Linked DNA regions of Oreochromis niloticus. The protein of the gene in region 1 interacts with the protein of each later gene in a pairwise test. Links are inferred from orthologs where the notes say so. Each region holds a gene or a part of one and is shown on either strand. Other genes may lie near its edges.

Region 1 (11,620 bases):
AAACAGCCGCACTGACTGATCTCTAACTCGCTGACTGCTATCAGCATTTCAGAAAAACACGGTGACATTCATGTAATTATTACAACAATGACATTTACAGATGGCAGCATAAATGTTATACTAGCTTAATGTTCAATGTGATATGATGAACAAACTAAGAAGAAAAGTTTGTTTCTTCTGAAAAATTAAGTGACCGAAAAAAAATGAACACTGACTAACAACACTTATTCTCAATCAGAGGATCCCAACAACTGTAATCATTTTTTAAGTACTACCAAGCCACTAATACACTAATAATAATGTACTGACAGCTTATTTTGAACCATTTTCTGGCTTCTAGCTTTACACTGTTATTACTTTATGACTGTGGTTCAGGAGGTAGAGCAGGTCATCGAATGATCAGAAGTCAGATGGTTGAATCCCAGGCTCCTCTATTCTGCATGCCAAAGTATCCGTTGATAAAATACTGAACCCCAAGTTGTCCCTGATTGCACCCATCGTAGTCTGTGTATGTGAATATGAGATAATGCCTAAAGGCATAGAAAAAAAGCAGTGTGTGTGTGAATGGTTGAATGAGGCTCATAGAAGATAGTGTTTTGAGTGCTCAACTAGAGTAACAAAGTGCTATATAAGTACCAGTCCATTTACAGCTTAAATTCTTAAACACAAGTCAGTCAAAATTGACCTTTTCTATGAGTCTTTTCAGTAAATAAAGTGCTATCTCAGCCCTGGACTAGGCAACACAAGCCACTAAAGTCTATCTCACACTCCTGTATTTGGCCAGCTTAATTTTCTTTTTCGTTTTATTGAGTAAGAGTAAGTTAAGGTTTAAGCTAAAGCTTAATCTAGGCCCTTTAGAGAAACTTAGCCATTGACAATTCACTGAGGAAAAACAAAACATGTTAGCACAATTATCTAAAAATTACCATGAAAACATGTTTCCTTCACTTTATAGACTGAAAAAAACGTGATTGAAAAAAAAAAATTTCATCCATCCTGTTCAGAAAGAAAATAAAACACTCACCTCTTGAGGGAAAGTGACATAATAAGTGCACGCCTGTTTATTTTAAATGTGTGACCTCTGTGTGTGTGTGTGTGTGTGTGTGTGTGTGGCAGGGGTTAATCCCGGCATGCTGTGGTTCTAACAATGCTTAAACTCCAGATTATGAGTCAATTTCACCCAACTCAACCCTGAATACACAAACAATTGCACTGAAAAGTGTCATTAAATGACTTCCATGGGGGAAAACTGGACAGGGCACCATAATGCTACAGAATACAGAAATAATAGAAGACTAAATTTGTTTATGTGAAAAGACAATGTATGAAAATTGTTATTTGCACAGAAGAGAATAAAGAGAAGTAACACATCTGCTCAATCCCTTTAACACCAACACAAATACATCCTACAAAACCTCCAACACCCAAATACATTCATACAAGATGACAGCGCACACACCCACACACAGCAGTAGGGCTGACAGAAATGCTTGATGATATGACCTAAATTTTTTACTTTTTGAAGCTTTTGAAGCTTGAAAAGAAGCTGTGTGTGTGTGAGTGTGTGTGTGAGTGTGTGTGAGAGAGTGTGAGAGAGAGAGAGAGAGAGAGAGAGGAAAAGAGACAGTCAACTCCCAATTCACATTCCTTGCATGGCTCACATAACTATCTGTGTGTGTTCATGTGGCTACGAGTGTGTGTGTGTGTGTGTGTGTGTGTGTGTGTGTGTGTGTGTGTGTGTGTGTGTGTGTGTGTAGTTGCGCTGCACCCAGTCCACATTAACTGTATTCACTTGAAAGCCCTACGATTTTCTCAGTCCCCCAAAGAACCCAGAAATGACCACTTCACCTACATCAAGCCCACCCTGTAGCAGCACAGCAACAGTCTCCCTTTCATTCCCCCTGGCTGTTAGCTAGTCCACCTCTGAGTTTTTGTCAAATTCGGCACAACAATAAGCTACGCAGTGCTGGAAGTGTAGGAGAAGAAAAGCTTATTTGGTAAATAAATTTAGCGCACACACAGAACAAGGATGAAAAGGCACACGCAAACACCAGAGTTGAAAAATCATGAATTAAACAGAAACAGTGTGCACGCACACACAAACACCAAACATATTTCAAAGATGAAGGGAGAAAGATTCTAAAAAGCAAAGAGTCAAGAAAGAGGTGTGGAAACAGAAACACACACACACACACACACACACACACACACACACACACACACACACACACACACACACACACACACACAAAAAAACACCTATCTGATTGGAAAATATGGCACAAGTTGGAGTTATATAAACAAGAGGCAGAAGGAGGGAGAGAGAAAGCTATTCGACTGGTTGTCAATAGCAACAATGTTTTGGAAGTGCAGTCTGCCTGGCTGCAAAGCATATTGGGATATTGCCACCATTATTGTCAGCCACCATTCGCTAATTCACTTCTTCGTACACAACATTTAGGTGTTTTGTGAAAAACTAAAGAGTAAAAAGAAAAAAAGAATTTTCTGATGATTTTCTTGCCATTATCATCTACATCACTGCAGCAGCTAAGTTAAAATCTGATGGAATATAACATATTTTCCCAAATACTTTGTGGCAGTTACAGTGGATCTAGTGATCTTTTCCTTATTTCCTGTTATGTTTATATTCTAACAGCAGTTCCTACTCAGATTACAGATTTCAGAAATCTAAAATATTAAGGTCAGTGTATGTATAATTTATCCCTTTATGGCTACAGACTGTTCTCCCTGCTATGTTTCAGACATTCAGATTTTTAACTCTATGTTAATGGTCAGCAGGTCCCTAATATAGTTACCTCTAGCCGTAAGGACAGAAGCCCCACTCACCTACTGTTCAAACCTTCTGTTTAAATGTGGCAGCCAATCAGGAAAAAAAAAAAAAAATAAAAAAAAAATCAGGCTTAAAGCAATGGAGAATTAAAAAAAAAAAAAAAAAAAAATCTTGTTTCAGACAGGATGAACCCTAAGTGCAGCATCAAGGCACAGTATAAGAAAAGTAAGGACAGTCCTGACGTGTAAATCACTCAAAGCTACCCTGGTAGAATAAAAAAATATAGAGCTCCATAGCACAAGCCACCTTAAGGCAGTGATGCAGGCAAAAACTAACTGCTTCAAGTTAAAATTGCATTTTGCAGTGTACAGACAGTTGTACAGCTGTTCACCAGGCACACAGCTGTTTACCCCATAGTAAGGTAATGTTTTCAATCACACGAAAACTGTCCTTTCAGTTTTTTGTCTAAGCCTAAGACTAGATATCCCCCGATGATCTCATTAGGATTTTTTTCTGAGTTATGGGAAACCACCTGCAAAGTCACATTGTGTGATTTTAATATGACACAGAAAAATTAAAATCACAGCCCAGTGTCACTCTGAATAGCAAAAAAAGGTTTTTAAAAATCTTTTGTTCTGAGAATCTTATACTTGCTTTCACACCAAAATTAGTACTCTGATCCAATTCATCACTTACTCGCTCTGACAGGAAGTTCCAAACTAATCGCTGACACCTGCTGTGAGTCCATCACAAGACACTTTGATTTCTCAGACCGAAACCACTGACACATCCCACATTCTTCTAGAAGACAGGTCATAACGTACATCCTCATGTGTCAGTCCCAGGAGCAAAAGTAATTAACATAGAGTGTGTGTGCGCATGCACACACATACACACCTCCCACAATCGTGGCACAATGCAGAGACTGATCAATACAAGCACTGCTATACGGGCCTACAGGCATGGAGTGGGAGCTGTCGGGGTAATTATGTCGTTCTCTCGGGGTGTATCGTTCCCACAGCCAGCAGCCCAGATCTGAATGTGGGTCAAAACGCCCACATGCAGATTCGCAAATACACATAATTGAACGGCTAGTTGTTCCAGATGAAGGACGCTGGAATTAAATGCAGGTTAAACAGGAAATAGAAAAGAGCGTAAAAGCATCGAAGGCACTTCCCAGCAAAGATGGGTGAGAAGCGTTCAATACTGCAGAGCTATTTCCCTTTCAACAATGCAAACTTTCTTTCTAATTTCATAATCAGAAATTTTAAGCTCTCATGTAGGCAGAGCTCTAATATTGTTAAATGGTGATAATAACTGAAATGACATGCTGGATTTCTAGTTGTGTAATTGTTTGTTTTTTGTGCTTTTATATTCAATTTGGGGGCGGGGCGAAACTCTAGGGCAATAGTATACCTAACATCAGGTCACTGTTTTCAGGGTAACAGCAGGACAGTGTGTTCCTGGTGCATTGGAATCAAATACCCTTGAGCTTGTGTCTGCTTAAACACAATCAGTCCCTAATACTTATTTTCAAGGGCATGCTTGTTATCTTCCACTTTCAGCAACGTGTCTCAACCGTATTCAAATAACTTGACAGGAACAACCACAGTTTTGTTCAAAGTCAGGAGTTATTTGGAGGTTATTTTAAGGGATTTAACTCAGTTTCATAATGTTCGTATTCCAACTTTGCTCCACAGTGCTTTCACATCAGCAAAAAAGTGGCACAAACTGAAGTAAAGGCGCTGACTGTAGCAGAGAAGCCATTTCTTTCACACTTATATGAAGTCAAAGGCTAGTTAATGGTAAAATGCATGTCTGCTCCTTTAAGGGGAAGTCTCATTGTATGGTGCATTGTGAGCTTTGGGGTGATATGAATATGTTGTGAACAGGTCTTGCATCATACCTGCAATGATCCATACTGTTTTCATTGGGATTTAGGGCGATTTCGAGGATGACATCTGTGCATTATTTCAGCCTTTAATCTACAGTACGCTTCCTATCGCTGGTGGCAGCCTGGCTGCCGATGTCTGAGCTACGTTATGTAAACAAACATAACGTGAAATAAGAGATTTTACGCTTGGACAGTGTTTGAGGCTACAAAAACAACACGTATGACCGTGCTGGATAAAGGCGCTGGGTAAACAGTAAAATATGAATTACAGTAAGAGTCTGGCTGTATTATTCTCCAGCTGCCGTTTCCTCTGTTTTGCCATTTCCACTCGCCACCATTCAGACTTCGTCTTCAGCCGCCGGGCGAAGCCTAGCCTCCCGGTTGTTCATTAAGAGTTACCTGAAAGTGACCCATCAACGATTTTACCTGAAAATGTTGAATTCCGTCGTTTTCAAGCCGACCCTCCGGATCTGCCAGGCCCGGATGCCCTCCTCCGCTTTACCCGCCCACTGAAGTAGCCTGAAACACAGCTCCGTCTGTGCTTGTTTGTGCTCCACACGCTCCGCCAGAGAAAAAAATATCCTCCGAAACAAGCAGAGAGGTGTGCGAGTGTGCGGGCGAACGGACACAGACCGAAACCCGAAAAAGTCGTCTGTTCGGCAGCGGAGGCAGTTTAAAGAGGCTGGAGGAGGATGTCGAGTGCGGAGACGGGAGGGGTGCGAGCATGTAAGATAGATTACGATAACGGCACTTCCGCTGACGTTTCAAAACAAAGGTCTGTTCTATTGCAATTTTCAAAATAAAAGCCACTGTGACGGTTATCTGGTCAGTGTACAAACTAAAAGTTGTTTTTTTGAATAGACAACTTCCACATCATAGACTAGAAAAACGTAAAGAAAAACGTCTAGATAGACGCATACACCAAAGACTATACATAAATACATACTGCATTTTATACATACTATTTTGTATGCCTTTTTGTTTGTTAGCTTGTAGGTAAAACTAGAAGTTAAGTTTGAATGACATCAGAGTATAGTTTGTCAAAGCTGGGAAATGCATAAAAAAAAGAAACAGTTGGAGGCTTTGTTAGCATACCGTTCCTTTTCGTTTGTTAATCATCACTACAACAATGCAACACTGTCCATTTCAGTCTTGAAATGAGTAGATCAATTATTGAATCGATTCAAATTCTATTACAAAATAGCATGTGTTTGTTGAAGATGCCAAAAATGATGAAATGATGAAACGCTCAAGTTTTCAACAGCTTTAAAATTAGAGCATAAATTATAAAGATGATGGGAATAATTATTGTTGTGTGGTGCTCCCTGCTGGATAAAACTTTAATTACTAGTGATGCTGGAAATCCTTATGTAATCCCGTTGTTTGCAATAAATAACGTTCACTAACAGTTGAAAAGGTTTGCTAAAACAAGAAAAATGCTTGAACTCTACAATAGAGTTTTCATTTTTCTTTTTTTTTTCTGCTATTTTTAAAGGATCAGTTCATCTAATCACAGGAGGGGAACTATCATTTCCCTTACAAGTCACTGAAGTATTTTTGATTTTATCAAACTTGTCACGGTGTTGTGATAATAACTGGGCAGTGTTTTAACGGATCCATAAATGACTGTATTCCTGTAGGTGTTTTGCATAACAGCACATTCACAGACTGTGCGTGAGTGCGTGTCATCACGTTAGCCTTTGCCCTAGTCAGCAGAGGTACGTAAAATACAACAACCCAGTTCTCCACTACTTGAGTTTACGGAGGACACGAAGCACTTGTACTTGACAGAAAATGTCTCGTCCTGCGGAGAGACTCCGAGTCATTATCAACCATCTTGACAGACCTTCTGCAGGGATTGTATCTTTTTTATTCATCTTTGCGATAAATCGGGCGCGAGGCTCTTAGCCTATAGCAAAGCAGTGAGCGCCCGATCACACTGATACTCTGCTACCGGGATCCAGTGGTGGACTGCAGGCCTCCCGGAGAATACTGACATAAGGACAGGACAGGACTTGAATGCCTATAACTATTCTTGCACTATTAACACCGCTAGTTATTTTTGAGCTGATGTGTTCACCGTTGTTTCTGTAGAAGTATGTTTGTTTGGATTGCATGTCATTAGCAATAAAAGTTGTAAATGCTAGCTAGCTGGAGGCATTTATAACTGTTTCTTAGGGCTCGGAAACTACTCTTATTGGATTATTTTCTATATCAACCTTTTAAATAACAAGTGAACAAGTGTATCTGTTAGGTCTATCTGTAGATAGGTCAACTTAAAGATAAGCTATTTACTAATTTATATATGTGATTTGTTTTAAAAAAGTGTTGTCGGTTTCCCTGGTTTTAATATGCAGCACCAATGCAGATTTTCACATAAAAGACATTTTCACATATTTTGGCAGAAAGGCAGAATGTTACACTGTAAAATCTTGGAAATGATCTAAAATCTATAAATAATAATCTAAAATCTATAAATGATAATCGATTATAGCAGACATTTTTCCCCTTGTTTTGCTTTTTTTAAATCCTTGACTGATTTGCTGAAGAGAGCTGCACACACGTCTGCTCAAACCGTCAGCTACGGTCACCCACAGAGACTGAGGTAAGGACACACCTAAACTCCGCCTCGGGCTAAAGGTTTTTATGCACTCAGCAATCATTCGTGTTTATCGTTCACCTTTCCCACAGTTTCTTCTTTTGATCAGGTCCACAGTGTCCTACTTTTCTGCTCTCCATGTGTAATAGCAAGTGGTAATGACAGTGCTATTGGCTCAAAAGGCAAGGCAAGCTTTTTTATTTTATTTTTTTTTATTTTTCAATTTGGCAGGTATACTTTGGATAATGACCTGCTGACCCCGGAACAGCGGCTCTTCTATGAGGAAAATGGCTTCCTTCTCATCAGAAATCTGGTGTCCAAGCAGGACATCGACAGGTTCAGGTAACATCAGACACTTGGCAATAAATAATAAATTAAATAAGTACTTTAAAAAAAAAAAAAAAAAAAGCACAAACACATAAAATAAATATTTTACTTGAATAGGTTACAGTTCAAAATATTCATTTTTTATTTTATGCCAGCCTTTGGCGGATCCCCAATCATTTTAATCAGTTTTAGCTTTCATCCCCTTTGAGCTAGCTTTCTTCTGATTGGCTCGCAGCAGCTCAGGCAGTGAGCACAGAACGAAGACAGGGATATCTGATCTTTCATAGCCAAAAGCAGGAAATTTACAGCAGTCCAAAGTCTGATCGTTTTATCTCTTGGAGATTATTCATACATGCACTGTACTCAGTATGTGAAAGTTTGGCGATAGGAAAATCTACACAATCTACCTTTTTAATCAGAGTGTAGAATCAAGTCAGTTAAACTTATGGGATATTGATCTGGTCAGTTAATTAACAGAGGGGTTGTTATTCCATTTCAGCTGTTTTGGTGTTAATGAAATTAACAACAGGTGTACTAGAGGAGCAACAGTGAGACAACCCCCAAAACAGGCACGGTTTTACAGGTGGAGGACACTGATTTTTTTCCTGCTCATCTGACTGTTTTTATTACAGTAGTAGCATGAGGGGAGACCCTACAGATCTTGCATAGGTAGTTTAACTCCTCCAAGATGGAACATCAATACGTGCCATTGCCTGACGTTTTGCAGTCCAGTACAGTCTCAAGAGCATGGTAGAGATTTCAACAGACAGACAATTACTCTAAAAGAGCTGGACAGGGCTGTAGAAGGTCCTTAACCCATCAGCAGAACCAGTATCTGCTCATTGTCTGCAAGGAAGAACAGGGTGAGCACTGCCAGAGCCACAAAATGACCTCCAGCAGGATACTGGTGTGAATGTCTCTGACTAAAGCATCAGAAATGTGACTTTATGAAGGTGGCCCAATGTCCTCTAGTGGACCCTGCACTCACTGCTCGTCATCGTGGAGATTGATTGGCATTTGTCATAAAATACCAGAATTGCCAGGTCCACCACTGGCACCCTGTGTTTTTCACAGAGAGCAGGTTCACTCTGAGCACATGTGACAGACGTGAAAGGCTCTGGCGAAGCCATGAAGAACATTAGGCTGCCTGTAACATTGTTTAGCATGAGTGGTTTGGTGGTGGGTCAGTAATAGTCTTGGGAGGCAAATCCATGAAGGGACACAGACCTACAGGCTTGGCAACAGCATCCTTGAAATCCTTGGACTCAGTCTCAGACCCTACGTTGGTGCAGCAAGTCCTGGGTTTGTCCTGGTGAATGACAGTGCACAGCTTCATGTGGTGAGAATGTGCAGTCAGTTCCTGGAGGATGTAGTAGTTGATTTCATTGACTGACCCCCATACTCACCTTACCTAAACCCAGTAGAGCACCTGTGGGACATTATGTTTCCGTCCTGACTGTTTGGTGTGTGTGTGTGTGTGTGTGTGTGTGTGTGTGTGTGTGTGTGTGTGTGTGTTTTGGTGCCTCCTTCAGGAGGGAGTTTGAACGGATCTGTCGACAGGAAATAAAGGTTCCTGGTCTGGTGGTGATGAGGGACGTGGCTATAGCAAAGTCCGAGTTTGTCCCAGATCAGAGAGCTGTCTCAAAGCTGCAGGACTTTCAGGAGGATCCTGAGCTGTTCCGGTACTGCTCTTTACCAGAGGTACTGGAACGCCACATACAAACAAAGACAACACACACAGCAGTAGGGTTTTTCGGATGGTTCTTTTTTCTGTGTTAATTGCCAAATTGATTCTGATAAAAAGGATTTGGTGCCTCATAGAGGTGCTATCAGTAATCACACAGGTGATAACGCAGAAAACATTACATGGACTTAAATCATTAATCTGGAATGTCCAAATGTTTTTCACAAACAAAAAAATGAATGGGCACCGAATTTGTTTCTTTAGATAAACAATGAAATAAGTCGAGCCTGAAGACTATCAGAACAAAACTTTTTGCTTTTCTTTATCAGATCCTGAAGTACGTGGAGTGTTTCATTGGACCGAACATCATGGCAATGCACACGATGCTGATCAACAAACCTCCTGATGCAGGTATTTCAATTCTCACTAAAATGTTTGGCCGACAATGTCACAAATACTTAATACTTATTTGGATGCTGAGTACTTCTTGGGTTTACTCTTAAATTAAGTATTTGTAGGGTACCGGACTCTTTTTAAGACAAGTGTTGTGCAGATAAATAATAATCAATGTATTAACTGGAGGTGTCCCTTAGTTTTGGCTCCCTCTTGTGGGATTGATCATAATTACATCAACACTTTTGATGTGTGCTTGATTGCTATTAGCGTTTCTTTTTAGACTGTGTTAGTAATCTTCCCTCTGAATGACCAGTTCTTTATTTATCTGAAGCATCAAATACATTTCTTAAGCTCAAACATAACATAGAGTATCTTTAAGGTGTGAATTGTGAGAAGACATTAAAAATAAAAACTAGTTTGGTATCGTAATGTCTAACATGTCTTCTGTCGTTCCAGGTAAGAAGACGTCTCGTCACCCGATGCATCAGGATCTGCATTACTTCCCCTTTCGACCAGTCGATCGGATCGTCTGTGCATGGACGGCTATGGAGACGGTGAACAGGCAGAATGGCTGCCTGGTCGTCCTGCCAGGATCACACAAAGGCACGCTGCAGGAACATGACTATCCTGAGTGGGAGGTACACACAACACTGTAAAAGTTACAGTCATGCCTGCTAGGATGTACACACACACACGCAGAGTGTTTAAATAATTGCACGTGTCCTCAGGGTGGGGTGAACAAGATGTACCATGGAGTCCGAGACTATGACCCGGAGCACCCCAGGGTGCACCTAGAAATGGAAAAGGGTGACACAGTCTTCTTCCACCCACTGCTCATCCACGGCTCTGGCATGAACCAGACACAGGGCTTCCGCAAGGTACTGCATTACCCAGAGTCCACCTGGGATCCTGATATTTTCTAATGCAAACTAGCTCCACACAACCACATGATTATTTGTAGTATTTCTTTTTGCATATGAATAATGAGGTGTGATATCTGTGTGTGTGTGTGTGTGTGTGTGTGTGTGTGTGTGTGTGTGTGTGTGTGTGTGTGTGTGTTCACAGGCAATCTCTTGCCACTATGCCAGCGGTGATTGCTATTACATTGACGTGAAAGGAACCACACAGGAAAACATAGAGAAAGAGGTGAAAGAGATCGTAGCGAGGAAGTACGCTGTTGGTGATGAAGTCACTTTCAAGGTCAGACACGTACATCCAAGCTTCATTTATCTTATTTTAACATTATTGCTTTTTGATTAAAGGGAGCCTATTGTGCTTTTCCTAATATTTCTAATCACATAAATATGTTTACAATTGATTTATCACTAGCTACAAGCACTGATAGCTCACAATTGACATGCCTTCATTCCCATGTGAAGGACTTTGTAACAGCTTTTTGTCTTAAAAAGTGCTATATAAATAAATTTTACTTACTTACTTACTTACAAACCCAGAAAGTGTACACGTTAAAGGTCTGGGCAATGAAAGAGGGAGTGATAACAAAGTTAAACCATAACAAGGAACTGGAAACAAAGTCAGACACAGGCTGTCAATTTAATGTGTTGCCCAGGGTAGGAAGCAAGTGCTGTGGTCATGTAGTCCATGCAAGGCTCCTTCAAAACAAAGTCTTTGGAAATCAATGTTTCACATTTGTAATCAGCCTTTTTGTAGTCTGCCACATATCATCAGTGTTTGTACATATGCTTGTAATGATCGCCTGAGCTTTATACAAACGTCTTAACTTTTTTATAAATAGATTAAAATCATTAAGTTAACATTACAGTGGCATCGTTAAGTAACAACATCCCTAGTCTATGTCTCATTATTGTTTACAAGCCCCCGTTATAAGATCCTGTCATGGGCTACATTTACCTCGAGGTCAGCCTCTGCTAGGCAGCAACCATGTGTGTCAGGAAGCCTGCAACCTGG
Region 2 (11,392 bases), on another chromosome or scaffold:
ATGTTAACTTTGCGTCACATGGAACATGTGATGCTTCGGTAAACTCTGATGTTATGGAATCAGAATGATGTCTGGGTCTTGATGAGTACAGGGCTTCAATTTGGGAGGGATGCTGCCTCCTGGAGGCACATGTCGGTCTAACTGCAGTGATGATGACGCTTTCTGTTGTGGTCAAAGAAACAAAATCATCTAACAGGAAACAGACGGCAGATCTCCTGCTTGGGGTCAAGCTGCAGGAGGACTCAGAGCTCGCTTTTGCGTCCTGCTGCTTCTCGCAGCTCTGCAGCCGACTGTGCGAGCGGGAGACTTGTTTAAACGTACGCCACGACTCACGCAAACAACACACGAACAAAAGCTGTCAGGTTGTCAGTCAAAGCCTTACATGTAACTACAGAGATATATGCCTCTATACAGAGACACACCCTGCCTCTCTGTATCTGCTGCATCTTCAAAGGACTCTTTCATGTTTTATTCACTGACCACCAGCACTCACAATGCAAGTGCAGTCACACAGCTTTATTGTACAAATGACTTTTACTTTCCAGCTCACATGATGCTTCAGGGTTATCTTTGAAAGTGATCGTATTTCTAGTAAAAACAATTCAAGTTTAATATGATTTCTCTTCAGCAGCTCACCAAAGAAACCAAAGGAGGACACGTCAAGCTAGAAAGACTGTGGAAGGCGAAGCCGTGATGTTGACTCCGTGTCCTGTAGCTCGAGGACTGAAGGCTTTGTTTCTCATTATTAACACCAACTTGGTGTTGCAGTGGATCTGTTCCTGATCAGCAGCCAAACATGTGACTCTCCCTTCCTTTAAGTCCAGAAAAATCATGACTGTAAGTTAAAATTATGAAGATACATAGACAGAAGACAGAGACTGTCATGTGATGTATATGATTATGTGATCATGAGATGTATGTGCAGATGAAATATATGTTTTCTTTCTCACACAGAGAACTGCTAAAGATGGCACTTTTGTGTTTTGTGGCAACTGCCTGAAAATCACCTATTAACTAATAATCTCAGGTTATATACCTGATTATCTGTTGCTGTCTACATACACAGATATTCACATTAACCGCTTTCATTCACAGTCCAGCCAGAAACTCATAGACCTGAAACTGAAATTCCCTCACAAACAACACTGATGCTCAGCAGCCTCCTTTGATACAGGACTCAAACTATAATGTGGCCGTTGGCAACCAGTTGAGTGGAGTCCCCTACTTTAGAGAGATAAGTTGCAGATGAGCTGCACTTGTCTGAAGTGCTCCACTGTGTTGGAAATCTGTCTGCGTTTGTAAGTGGTAAGGATTATTTGCAAACCTTTGCCAATCAACCTGCAACTTTGTGGAGACAGGTTGCCTCCCATCCAGCAACGTAACGAGCTGGTCACTGCAACTAATTCCAATCGGTCCCTAAATGAGAAAAAAACTCACCGTGCCGTCACCGAGCTACCAGTTTCTTTTAGGTCGTTGTCCCATTTGTGAGCCAAATGGCTCCTAACGAGGACGCTGTAGGTTTTCTTTTCTTTCAGTGATTTCACATCAGGCGCCATGCTGGCTGTAGACAGGTGTGTGACACACACTCAAGGGCAGGCTGGCCAAAGAAGTATGTCAGTAAACAAACAAACAAAAACTCATTGTTTCTAAAATGTTTGAAGACAAGTTGGGACAACTATCAGTTTAAGAAGAAACTATTTATCCTGTTTAATGTGATTTTCTTTGATGGAGTGAACAAAGGACTGAAATCTGGTCACTTTTTATGCAAATGAGCTGTGACGCACCGGAAACGGAAGTAGTGTTTCCCCCCATTCGTTCTTTTATTTTCTTTCCAGCTCGGCTCCGCTCCGCCAGAGTTTTAAACACAGGAGAATGGAATACAAGCTCATCATGGCGGTCTCTGGCTTCCCGAGTCTCTACGACATGAACTCTCCGACCTATCGGGACCTGAACATGCGGAGCGACGCGTGGCGGCAGGTGGCAGAGATCGTCGGAGTCCCCGGTGAGTTTCAGCACAGCGCCGAGACCCCGGCCCGAACTTCAGCTCTCACACGGGAGCACTTTCGATGTGGGCGAGACGGAAAACTTTCAAAACATGTTAAACATTCAGATTTTCATCAAAGAGAAAAGTTCAAAACAAATACGGTCCGACCTTTATTATGTTCCGACCCTCGTCGCCTCTCGACTCCAGCACAATGGTTCCTCTTCAGAACAATCAGCACAGATTTATGAAAGTTTTACAATACTGTAAGAAAATATACGACAACTTTAATCAGCGGTTTTTACTCATATATTGTATTTACTGGGAATTAACTGGTCTTAGTGGATTTTTTTAGTAATCAGAACTGGGGGAAAAAAGGTGATGACGACCAAATATGTAAGAGTGTGTGTAAAATAAGTATGTAAGGTTTTACTCATGTAGACAGTCTTTGTTAACTGAACCTAAAATTTTTCGAATACAGTAAATTATGGTTCCCTGAAGAAAAGAAAGGAAAATAAAATACAAGAATATAGAATAAAGGAACTGTTTATACGCTTTTGTTATTTATGGGTTTATATGTTTTAACATATAAACTTAATAATAACATGATAGAAATTACTGATTTTTTAAATTTAAATTTAAAAGCCTTTAAAATAAAATTCCATGGAATTTTTATTATTTGCATTTTTTTTAAAAAACAAACAGCCTAATATAATTAATCATAAATGTATGGAAGGTTTGGTTAATTTGGTTAAAAGTCACACAGGAGTTTGGAGCTGTGAGTATTTTCACATGTGAATAATACTGTTTGTTATTTTCAGTATTTTCAGTCAAGTCAGTTGCTTCAAATGTTGAATATTGTCCAAACACAAGTTAGCTGTGAAATATGACCAAGGAAACAAAAATAGTTTGGTTGTTTGAGAGTTTGTTTTAGTTTTTGCAGAATAAACTAAATTAGAGCAAAGATTAGTTTTAGTTTTTGTATGCAGGTGAAAATAAAGCATTTAATGTGACTCTCTGTGTGTGTCTCTGGTTGTGGACACAGCAGGATGGTTTTACTGTTGGATTTTATGGTTTTATGGTTTAATTAAAGCAAACTTGTGGTTTTCCACATTAGAGTCGGAGTGCAGAAGGAAGTGGAAGACGCTGAGAGACCAGCACAGGAGGGAGAGGCAGCGCGAGAAGGAGCGGCGCGAGAGCGGCATCGGGCTCTTTAACTACCGGCCATGGAGGTACTCGTCCATTCTGTCTTTTCTGAATCCATTCATCGACGCCCGGGCAGCCGGCACCAACGGCTGGGCCCTGGACCCACAGCCCTCTCAGGTCCAGGTGGCCGAAATGGTCGGCTGCAGCACGACCACGGAGACACGGAGTGACGACGACGAGAGCTACGGTTCGTACCGACGCTTCCTTCTGATTGGCCAGCCTGCAGTAGTTCCTCATCAGCTTTTCAATGTGCAGTCCGAGCACCCGGATCTCTGACGGCCTCTGATTAATATTTTCTCGTGATTCGACATCGATTTAGTTCTGATTGTTTTGTCTGTTTTCAGGGTTCGCCGTAGCTGACGCGACCACGACGACCTCCTCGTCCTCATCCTCAGAGTTCCCGCAGAGGAAGCGGCCGCCCTCTGTTGGCTTGGACCCTTCCAGGCCCAAAGAAGCAAAGGTTGAGGTGAACTCGGGTGCCGCAGCCACTGACGATGGCGTGCAGACGCAGCAGCACGCCAACATGAAGGAGCTGTTTGAGATGATGATGCACTCGGTGACATCTCTTGCTGCGACCTTAGCTTCATCACACTCTTCCTCGCAGACCCCTCTTTTGCAGCAGGATCCGCAGAGTCATCATCGCAGCCTTCCGCCATCCTGGACGGCGGCGCGGCTGAACCAGCTGAAGACAGAAGAGCCGGAAGGTGACGTGGACGAGCTGCTCGTCCAAACGGACGATGAGGAGGAGGTGGAGGAAGAGCGCCGCCCCGCCTCTCCCAGGCCGCTCCGGCCAAAGAGGAAGAGCGTCGACGGCCTGCTGGAGGAATTCCTGAGGAAAACAGAAGCCAGGGATGCGCAGAGGGAGCGTGACATGGAGCAGAGGGACGACGTGACGCTGTTCCTGCTGAGCCTGGCTCCGGCTATGAGGAGGCTGACAGCAGAGAAACAGTCGTGGGTCAGAACCAAGATGCAGCAGTTTCTGCATGAGGCCGAGTTTGGTGCCACAAAGTTCCAGTGAGCCCACAAACGTTTTGATGGAAGCTCATTCGAAGGGGAAGCACTGAATCTTCCCTGCAGACTCCACAGGTGCTGACTCTTCTTACAGCTGCTTCAGGTAGCTCCAGATTTGATGGTCTGTCCCTGACCGATGACTCCAGATCCCGGGTTTCTGTTTTCATCGATGACTAAATGGATGTCTGCACAAAGCAGGACTTCGGGCACATCAGGGTCACTGCAGGGTTAACGCCACGCTTCAGTGTTGATGTCTGATTACTTAATGCGGACTTAAACTTCTGCACAGAGGACTCTGTGCACCTGCACATCCGTGTTCAGCTAGCAGGAGACTTTCTAAAGTTTAGATTTAGAAAGCAGTTTTTCATGACCAACTTTATTCCTGCAAGATGGCCGTCTGCAGATTTAAAACAGCTTCGTCGGCTTGTAACTCTCAAAGTGGTGATTTGATGCTAAAGTGTCTAAAATTTGAACCTTTGTAGATGAAGCCTACATCTGAATTAAGAATATTTATTCTGTCGTCTTTCTCAGACGGTCAAACAGCGCAACGGAGGACAGTAAGCAGACGCCTCTCTGACAGTCTGCGTTTGTCCACCTGTCAGTTGATCACAGAGCTAAGACGTGATTGTGATCGGGCACCATCACCGTTCATACTCACTAAAGCATTCAGAGCACACACTTTAATACTTCACTACTGTACAGCACACTGTTACACACACACAGACATGAATGGGTGCAGCTTGTATCATGTGTTTAATAAGCTGCAGGCGCCGCCTCCTTCATGTGTCCATGTAGCCTGAATCTTGATGCAAGCAGGTAAAGTGATAAAGATCTGCTCTTAAGATCTTTGTAGCACATTAATTATTGTGTTGTTAAGTTTGTGGTCCTAAAGTGTCACACGCTACGTCAGGGCAGATGGTGCACTCCAGCAGTGCAGACCCACTTTTCCTCCTCTTCTCTGTCCCTGACCTAAAATACTTCTTTACCCGACGTGAACGAGGATCTTTTATGACTTGAATGAAGCGAAGCTCAAACAGAGAGATGTTGGTTCACGTTCCTCTGAGATCATCTCAGACTGTTAAAACCACTCAATGTATTTTATGTACTTTTATTTTGAAAGGCCAGTCACACTGAGACCAAAGTGTGATCTTTGCTTTACTAATGTTAACCTCTCCTCTGAATCAGGAGTTCAGTGATGATCAATGAAATTGTAAATAATATTTGTACCTATTACCAGTAACCAGTTGCAGCTTTCTCCTGGTTTCCATGGTGATGCAGTATTTATGGAGCTGTGGTTGCAATCAAAGTTTCCTCCTGGCTGTGAGAGTGTGAGGCCACAGCGTCTTTGGTTATGTTATCTGAGCTGAACGCTCCATGTGTGATGCAGAAAAGCACATTTTGTATTACAGAAAAGTTTCTGTCTGTAATTCTAAACAATCATAAGAGCGTGATTTTTCCCAGATAGCACTGAACGCTTCAGCGAAGGATTCCTGTCACTCTGGTTAGTGTGCACGACTCAGGCTGCTCTCCCATGTTATTCAGTCCTGAGTTGGAACATTTTTTATGTTTCAGAATCCTGCAGCTGATTTTATTTTTCTGTGTTTGTGCTGTTTTTGTTCTTTGTTTAAAAAAAAAAAAAAAAACTCTTCTTGCAGTCATTTGTGTTTTTATTTCAAAGTGAATCCTGACAGCTGAGTGATGCTTAGAGTGAACTTCATATGCAAACACCTGAGCAGACTGCTGCAAATATTATTCCACCATTCATAAAGTGAGCTTCAGGAGGAGCCGATTAAAACCTGATTACTGACTGAAAAGAGCTCTTAGTGTGCTGCTGTGAGTATTTCACCTTAATGTGAAGTTTTCATGCTCATGCTGTGACCCAGATTCAGCAGGAAATTGCCGCTGTAAGGATGTTTTCTTACATATACAAACTATCATTTTCTGGTCTCTGGAATAACATGTGGATTACTGAACGTACACAGACTCTGAACAAAGTTGGAAGTCAGTTTCCATAAAATTGTTGTTTTAAAAATAAAAATAATCTTTGGTCATTTCTGAGGAAATGAAAACTAATATTTTAACTGCACGAAGCACAAAAGCACTGTGACCACTACTCCTTCCGTGAACGTGCAAATGCTCCATTTCGTTAGAAAATAATGCAAAAATCTAATTTAATAGGAAATTATAATTAATAAAATATGAAGATTTTCCTAGTTATTTATAAATCTTTCCTTAAATTTAAAAATGAAAATAGATTTTTACAAATGTAAATAACATTTCCTGTATAGCTTCATTTACCTGAATGTCGTGTTTTTAAGTAATTTATCTAGAACAATTTCTAATAAGCGCACTTGTTGGTTTTAAGGTAAAGAAATGTCGCCACCAGGTGGCGAACTGTACAACTACAAGTGTAGCACGTTCAGTCCGGAGTCAGCTGATCAAAACACGGAAGTGGAGGAGCAGTGAGTGGAGTGAGAGGAGCAGCAGGAGCAGCGGGAGCTTCTTCTGTGGGTTTCTGAAGCTTTGAAGCTTTTTTCTCTCGATTCCACGAGACGACCTGGTTTCTGTGAGTCACGTGACAGCCATGTTCAATTTAAATGTGATCAGGGTCCGTGAAGTCACTCTGTCACCTGCAGACCACACGAGAGCAGGTGCTGATCGGACACGGTCTGAGTCATAAAACGGGATTTTAGTCCTGCGGACTTCTTACGTGTGAACAGATTAACAAACTCAGCAGAGCTTCGCATCTCTGAACCCCACGGATTATTTGTAAAAACACAACAGGGCGGGTTCACAGCCTTTTACAAGTTTTGTGCACATTAATTGTCACATTTTCTAAAATATTTCGCTTGAGAGTCATAAAAAAAGCTTCAAAATAACAGTACAAGCTGAACTCTTCTTGTAATGATGATGAAGCTGTGGATAGATTTCAAGCTTCTTCTTAGTCATGTAATACTTCATGGTTTGAGTGCCAGTGTTTATTTTGTTATTGTTGTATGTTTTGAGTTGCTTATCAGTAAATAGTCAGTGTCATCTTTCCAGTCACTTTAAACCCTTCTGTCTAACAGGGTTTCCTTGTATGTGACGATAATGACGGTGAAGGTGTTTCGCAGTCCGGCCCGTCACGGCTATGCAGTGGAAGTGTCTCCGTATATCCCCAGCAGAGTGGCCTGTGCTGCTTCACAGTACTACGGGATAGCAGGTCAGTAGAGTTCAAGAGGTCACAGTGTGGAGAACACACCTGTATGAGGTTTCCACATGATAAAGAATGAATTACACAGGGTGAAGGAAAACCCCCTGGTTTCGGCTCACTGCTGGAGCCTCCTGTGGACATTAGAGGAACTCCAGTTTCTGGCTCTTCATCACTTCTAGTTTCCTGACTTTTGATCCATATAAATAATATGAAATAAAATAGTACGTGCTGTTTGTTTCTGGACGTTGACCTTGTGTTGATGGAGGAACCTCAGCAAGCTGAACAGACCCTGATGAAGACGAGCATCACGTGGTTTTTAAAGAGTCAGACAGCTTTCTCATTTCCATTCACTCTGTGTGTGTGTGTGTGTGTGTGTACAGGCTGCGGCACACTGCTGGTCCTGGATCAAACCGAGACTGGGCTCACCTTAGTGAGAAGGTAACATCTGTTTCCTCATCTCTCTCTCTCTAACATCTGTTTTTGTCCTTTATGCTTACAAATGATGGTTATAAGAAGTTGCAGGAGGTTTAGGGCTCGTTTTCATCTAATTTCGGCACAGATCAGATTATTATTGGACTGCGAGGGAAACAGAAACCCCTGCTTTTATGTGACTTTACCTTAATTTTACTAGGAGTTCCATTGAGAGAGCGACATGGCCTAAAAACTCAGAAAATAATAAAAATGCAGATGATATGTACAAATCAGTAGGAGTCACATTCCTCCTCGACTGCATTCTGAGTGATGACGTATGTGTGATTATTCTGTAGATATGAGATCTTTGTGTGAAGTGTGCCATGTCTGAGGTTGTTAACTCCACATCTGGGGAAGATTGAAACACAGAGAGGGGGCAAAACCAAAACCAGCATCGCTGGTCGTCCTGTGAGGCGTCAGTGATGATGGACCCAAAAATCATGGATGTTTGTCTCCCTCTGTTCTATCAGTTAAAGTCGCCGTTTCAGAAGAAAAGGCTTCGGGCTGACGGAGAGGACTCTGTGGCAAAATGAAAAGGAGTGAGAATAGTCTAGCTGTTTTTCAGGAAGTTTATTTTTCTGCTCTTCCTGTTGGAAGCTGCGTAGCTACGAACTGCAGGCGACTGCTTCACACCACCGTTAAAAATCCCTGAAATAAACCTTTAAAGTTGAATAAAAGAAACAAGAAATCAGTCAAGGGTCAAAACTCCAAAGTTTTTTATGTAGTCTCCGTGTGTGTGTGTGTGTCTCAGCTGGGAGTGGGGTGACGGCCTGTTCGACGTGGCATGGAGTGAAGGTAACGAGCACGTATTGGTGGCAGGCGGCGGAGATGGCAGCCTCCAGCTGTGGGATACAGCCAATCACAGCGCTCCACTGAGGGTGGCTAAAGAACACACACAGGAGGTAACGCACACATGCGTGCGTGCACACACAGACATACACGCACACACAGGTGTTCTGACTGTGACGTGTGTGCAGGTGTACGCTGTGGACTGGAGTCAGACTCGAGGAGAAAGCCTGATAGTTTCTGGATCCTGGGATCAAACGGTGAAAGTGGTAAGATGAAAGTCTCTCATTTCTTTCCCTCTCCGTCTGCGTTCTGTCTCCCTAATGTTAGTTTTATCTCCGTCAGTGGGACCCTGCTCTCAGTCCATCGCTGACCACCCTCAGAGGTCATGAAGGGGTCATCTACAGCACCATTTGGTCACCTCACATCCCAGGATGCTTTGCGTCTGCCTCAGGTGAGTCAGCCGGCCTGTTAGAGGGTTTAAAGTGGCTGCTTTCACCACTAGATGGCGTTGTTGTGATGGTTTTTGGAAGCAGGCCTGAAGATGTTTTGAACTTTGCTTCAGGCTGCTCAGATTCAGCTTCACTTTGGATTTAAAGCTACAAAGGAGGAAATGTTTGATGTCATGAAGCTTTTTCTCAGTGTCTGTCTGCGAGCACGAGTGCACCTTGAGCTCTGGAGGTTTTCGTGGTAATCACTCATGTTGTTTGTTGGAGGTTTTCCTCATCGTGTGCAGTGTAGGAAGTGAGGTGAGTCTGCATGATGGCAGTAAATATACTACTGAAGGTTTTAGTCTTAGTAGAAATTCATAGTTAGGAACGTAAATCTGTAATTTAAACACGACATGTGGAAAGCACTGTGCTTTAATAATGTAATATTTAATGTAATATTCTTGATATTTATAATTGAGCGATTTGTATATTATTGCTATTTCTTAAATTTGTAAATTCTGTAACATATTGTATTATTTAATTAGTTTAGTCTGTTACTGTTGCTGTCTTGGAGCAACTGTAACCCACATAATTTCCTTAGGGTTAGTATTCTGATTCTGATGATTCTGATTTAAACCTGTTTGGTGCTGATGCAGACACAGGGGTGTAGTTTGTAGCAGGAGGCGTGTCTCTGTCACTGTGATGTCATCGCTGGGTGCCCCAGTGATTTTTCTCTGTCGTTGTGCTTGATTGTTGAGTGGTGGGATCTTTAAAGCCGTCCTCCTGGCTCTGTCTGCTGTAGTGGTGCGCTCCACAGTGACGTCAGACTGCTGCACGTCTCATTGGGTCGTGCTGGAGACATCGCCATCCTCTGTCAGAGCAAGACTTGACAGATTCTCAGAGACTCTGCAACAGCTTGAAACTTAACTTCCTGCTCTCAGACCTACAGATGTTTGGGGTCAGTGACAGTAGAAGTGCCCCTGAAGTCTATAAAACTGCGGTGCCCCTGAAGTCTATAAAACATGTCCCACACCAGCATAAATCAAAGGCATCATCTTTGAAGGATAGGTCGAAGGTGCTGCGGTGCAGGGCTTAAAGAGTTGGTTCCTGGTTGGGTGGAGACTGTGTGGGCCTTACATGTTTCCTCCAGCAGACGTGCACTTTATGTTAACTGGCTGTGAGTGTGGATGAAGAGTGGTCAGTAAGACCAGAGAAGCATGTAAAAGTCTGAAGTGTGAGTGAGTTTGTAGCCGGAGGGAGCATTTGGATGATCTCCTGGGAGCGTGTTTAAACTTCATACAGGGGCAGCGATGCATCATCCGATCTACAGCAGCTGCCTTCAGGTTGGGCTCGGTTTGGGAGGCGCTGTCTCATGCGTCTTGGCCGATGAGTTTGGGTTAATTGGTTTGTGAGCGAGTGGAGGCCTCTGATGAGATTCTCAAAGCAGGAAGATGTTAACCCCTCGCTGCTCACAGGGTAGTCCAGGTCCAGCCATTTGACCTTAAATGAGTTTTTATTTTTGATTGAGTGTATACAGAACACACAGCTGGGACAAATAACTGTTGAATCCTGGGTTTGTGTGCTATAAAAGTTCTGTTCAGGTTGGGTTCAGTTATTAGGAGTGTGCTGCAGTGGACTCATGCATGCACCAGCAGTCCTCAGATGAGATTTTTAAGGAAGTTCTGGATGTTTTTCATCTGATTTTTGAACAAATTTCTGAGAATTTATTCTTCACGATGGCTGTGCTGAATTAAAACAAGAAAAATATTGTGTTTGTGTTCAGATCTGAGTTCTGACTATGTGTCAGTGATCCCTGTGACAGATGTGTGATTAATGGCTCCTTGAGGTTGGTTTTAACGGACCATACGATGACCGGCGCCACAGATGAATTTGGAGGCTGTAATTCTGGGGTTTGTCGTTGTGGTTGATGCTTCATATTTGTTTTCAATTGATTTGATTTTTGATTTCTCTGCTTTTTTTATTGACCTGTTTCTCAACTCGGTGAACTCATTCAATTTTCTGGTCTGTAAAATATCAGGTTATGGCTTCAAACTGCCCAGGACAGTGTCCCGCAGTCCTTTAATAACAGCTCTGCAGCTAAATGCTTTACTGAGAGCACATCTCCATAAAGAAACCTTCAGAGTGTCTGTGTCCGCCCCTTACAGCGGTTCACCTCCATGTTGGTCTTGTACATCAGCTCAACCGAACACACTGCATTTGATATTCTGCCAGTGAACTCGCCGCACGCTCACACTTAGTAAAAACACAGTGTTTCTCTTAATGTGGTCCTAAAACACATAAAAGGCTCTGCTT

Evidence for each region.
Region 2: the proteins of phyh (region 1) and pex7 interact in a two-hybrid assay, tested with the Homo sapiens proteins (2 studies listed by BioGRID, with this or other methods). The link is inferred for Oreochromis niloticus from reciprocal best matches to the Homo sapiens genes PHYH and PEX7.

What each region holds. Positions count from the first base shown.
Region 1 is NC_031981.2:35,510,878-35,522,497, reverse strand, and holds the start of phyh (phytanoyl-CoA dioxygenase, peroxisomal), read left to right. Parts: upstream 1-6,384; 5' UTR 6,385-6,479; coding exon 6,480-6,545; intron 6,546-7,234; coding exon 7,235-7,290; intron 7,291-7,515; coding exon 7,516-7,626; intron 7,627-9,143; coding exon 9,144-9,312; intron 9,313-9,624; coding exon 9,625-9,706; intron 9,707-10,147; coding exon 10,148-10,329; intron 10,330-10,419; coding exon 10,420-10,569; intron 10,570-10,756; coding exon 10,757-10,891; intron 10,892-11,620. UniProt on the Homo sapiens protein: Catalyzes the 2-hydroxylation of not only racemic phytanoyl-CoA and the isomers of 3-methylhexadecanoyl-CoA, but also a variety of other mono-branched 3-methylacyl-CoA esters (with a chain length of at least seven carbon atoms) and straight-chain acyl-CoA esters (with a chain length longer than four carbon atoms).
Region 2 is NC_031980.2:24,481,472-24,492,863, forward strand, and holds the start of pex7 (peroxisomal biogenesis factor 7), read left to right. Parts: upstream 1-6,630; 5' UTR 6,631-6,764; intron 6,765-7,266; 5' UTR 7,267-7,288; coding exon 7,289-7,400; intron 7,401-7,771; coding exon 7,772-7,829; intron 7,830-8,613; coding exon 8,614-8,764; intron 8,765-8,839; coding exon 8,840-8,917; intron 8,918-8,993; coding exon 8,994-9,102; intron 9,103-11,392. Other genes in the region: uncharacterized protein LOC102082537, read left to right, coding at 1,873-2,002, 3,099-3,374, 3,532-4,205. UniProt on the Homo sapiens protein: Receptor required for the peroxisomal import of proteins containing a C-terminal PTS2-type peroxisomal targeting signal. Specifically binds to cargo proteins containing a PTS2 peroxisomal targeting signal in the cytosol.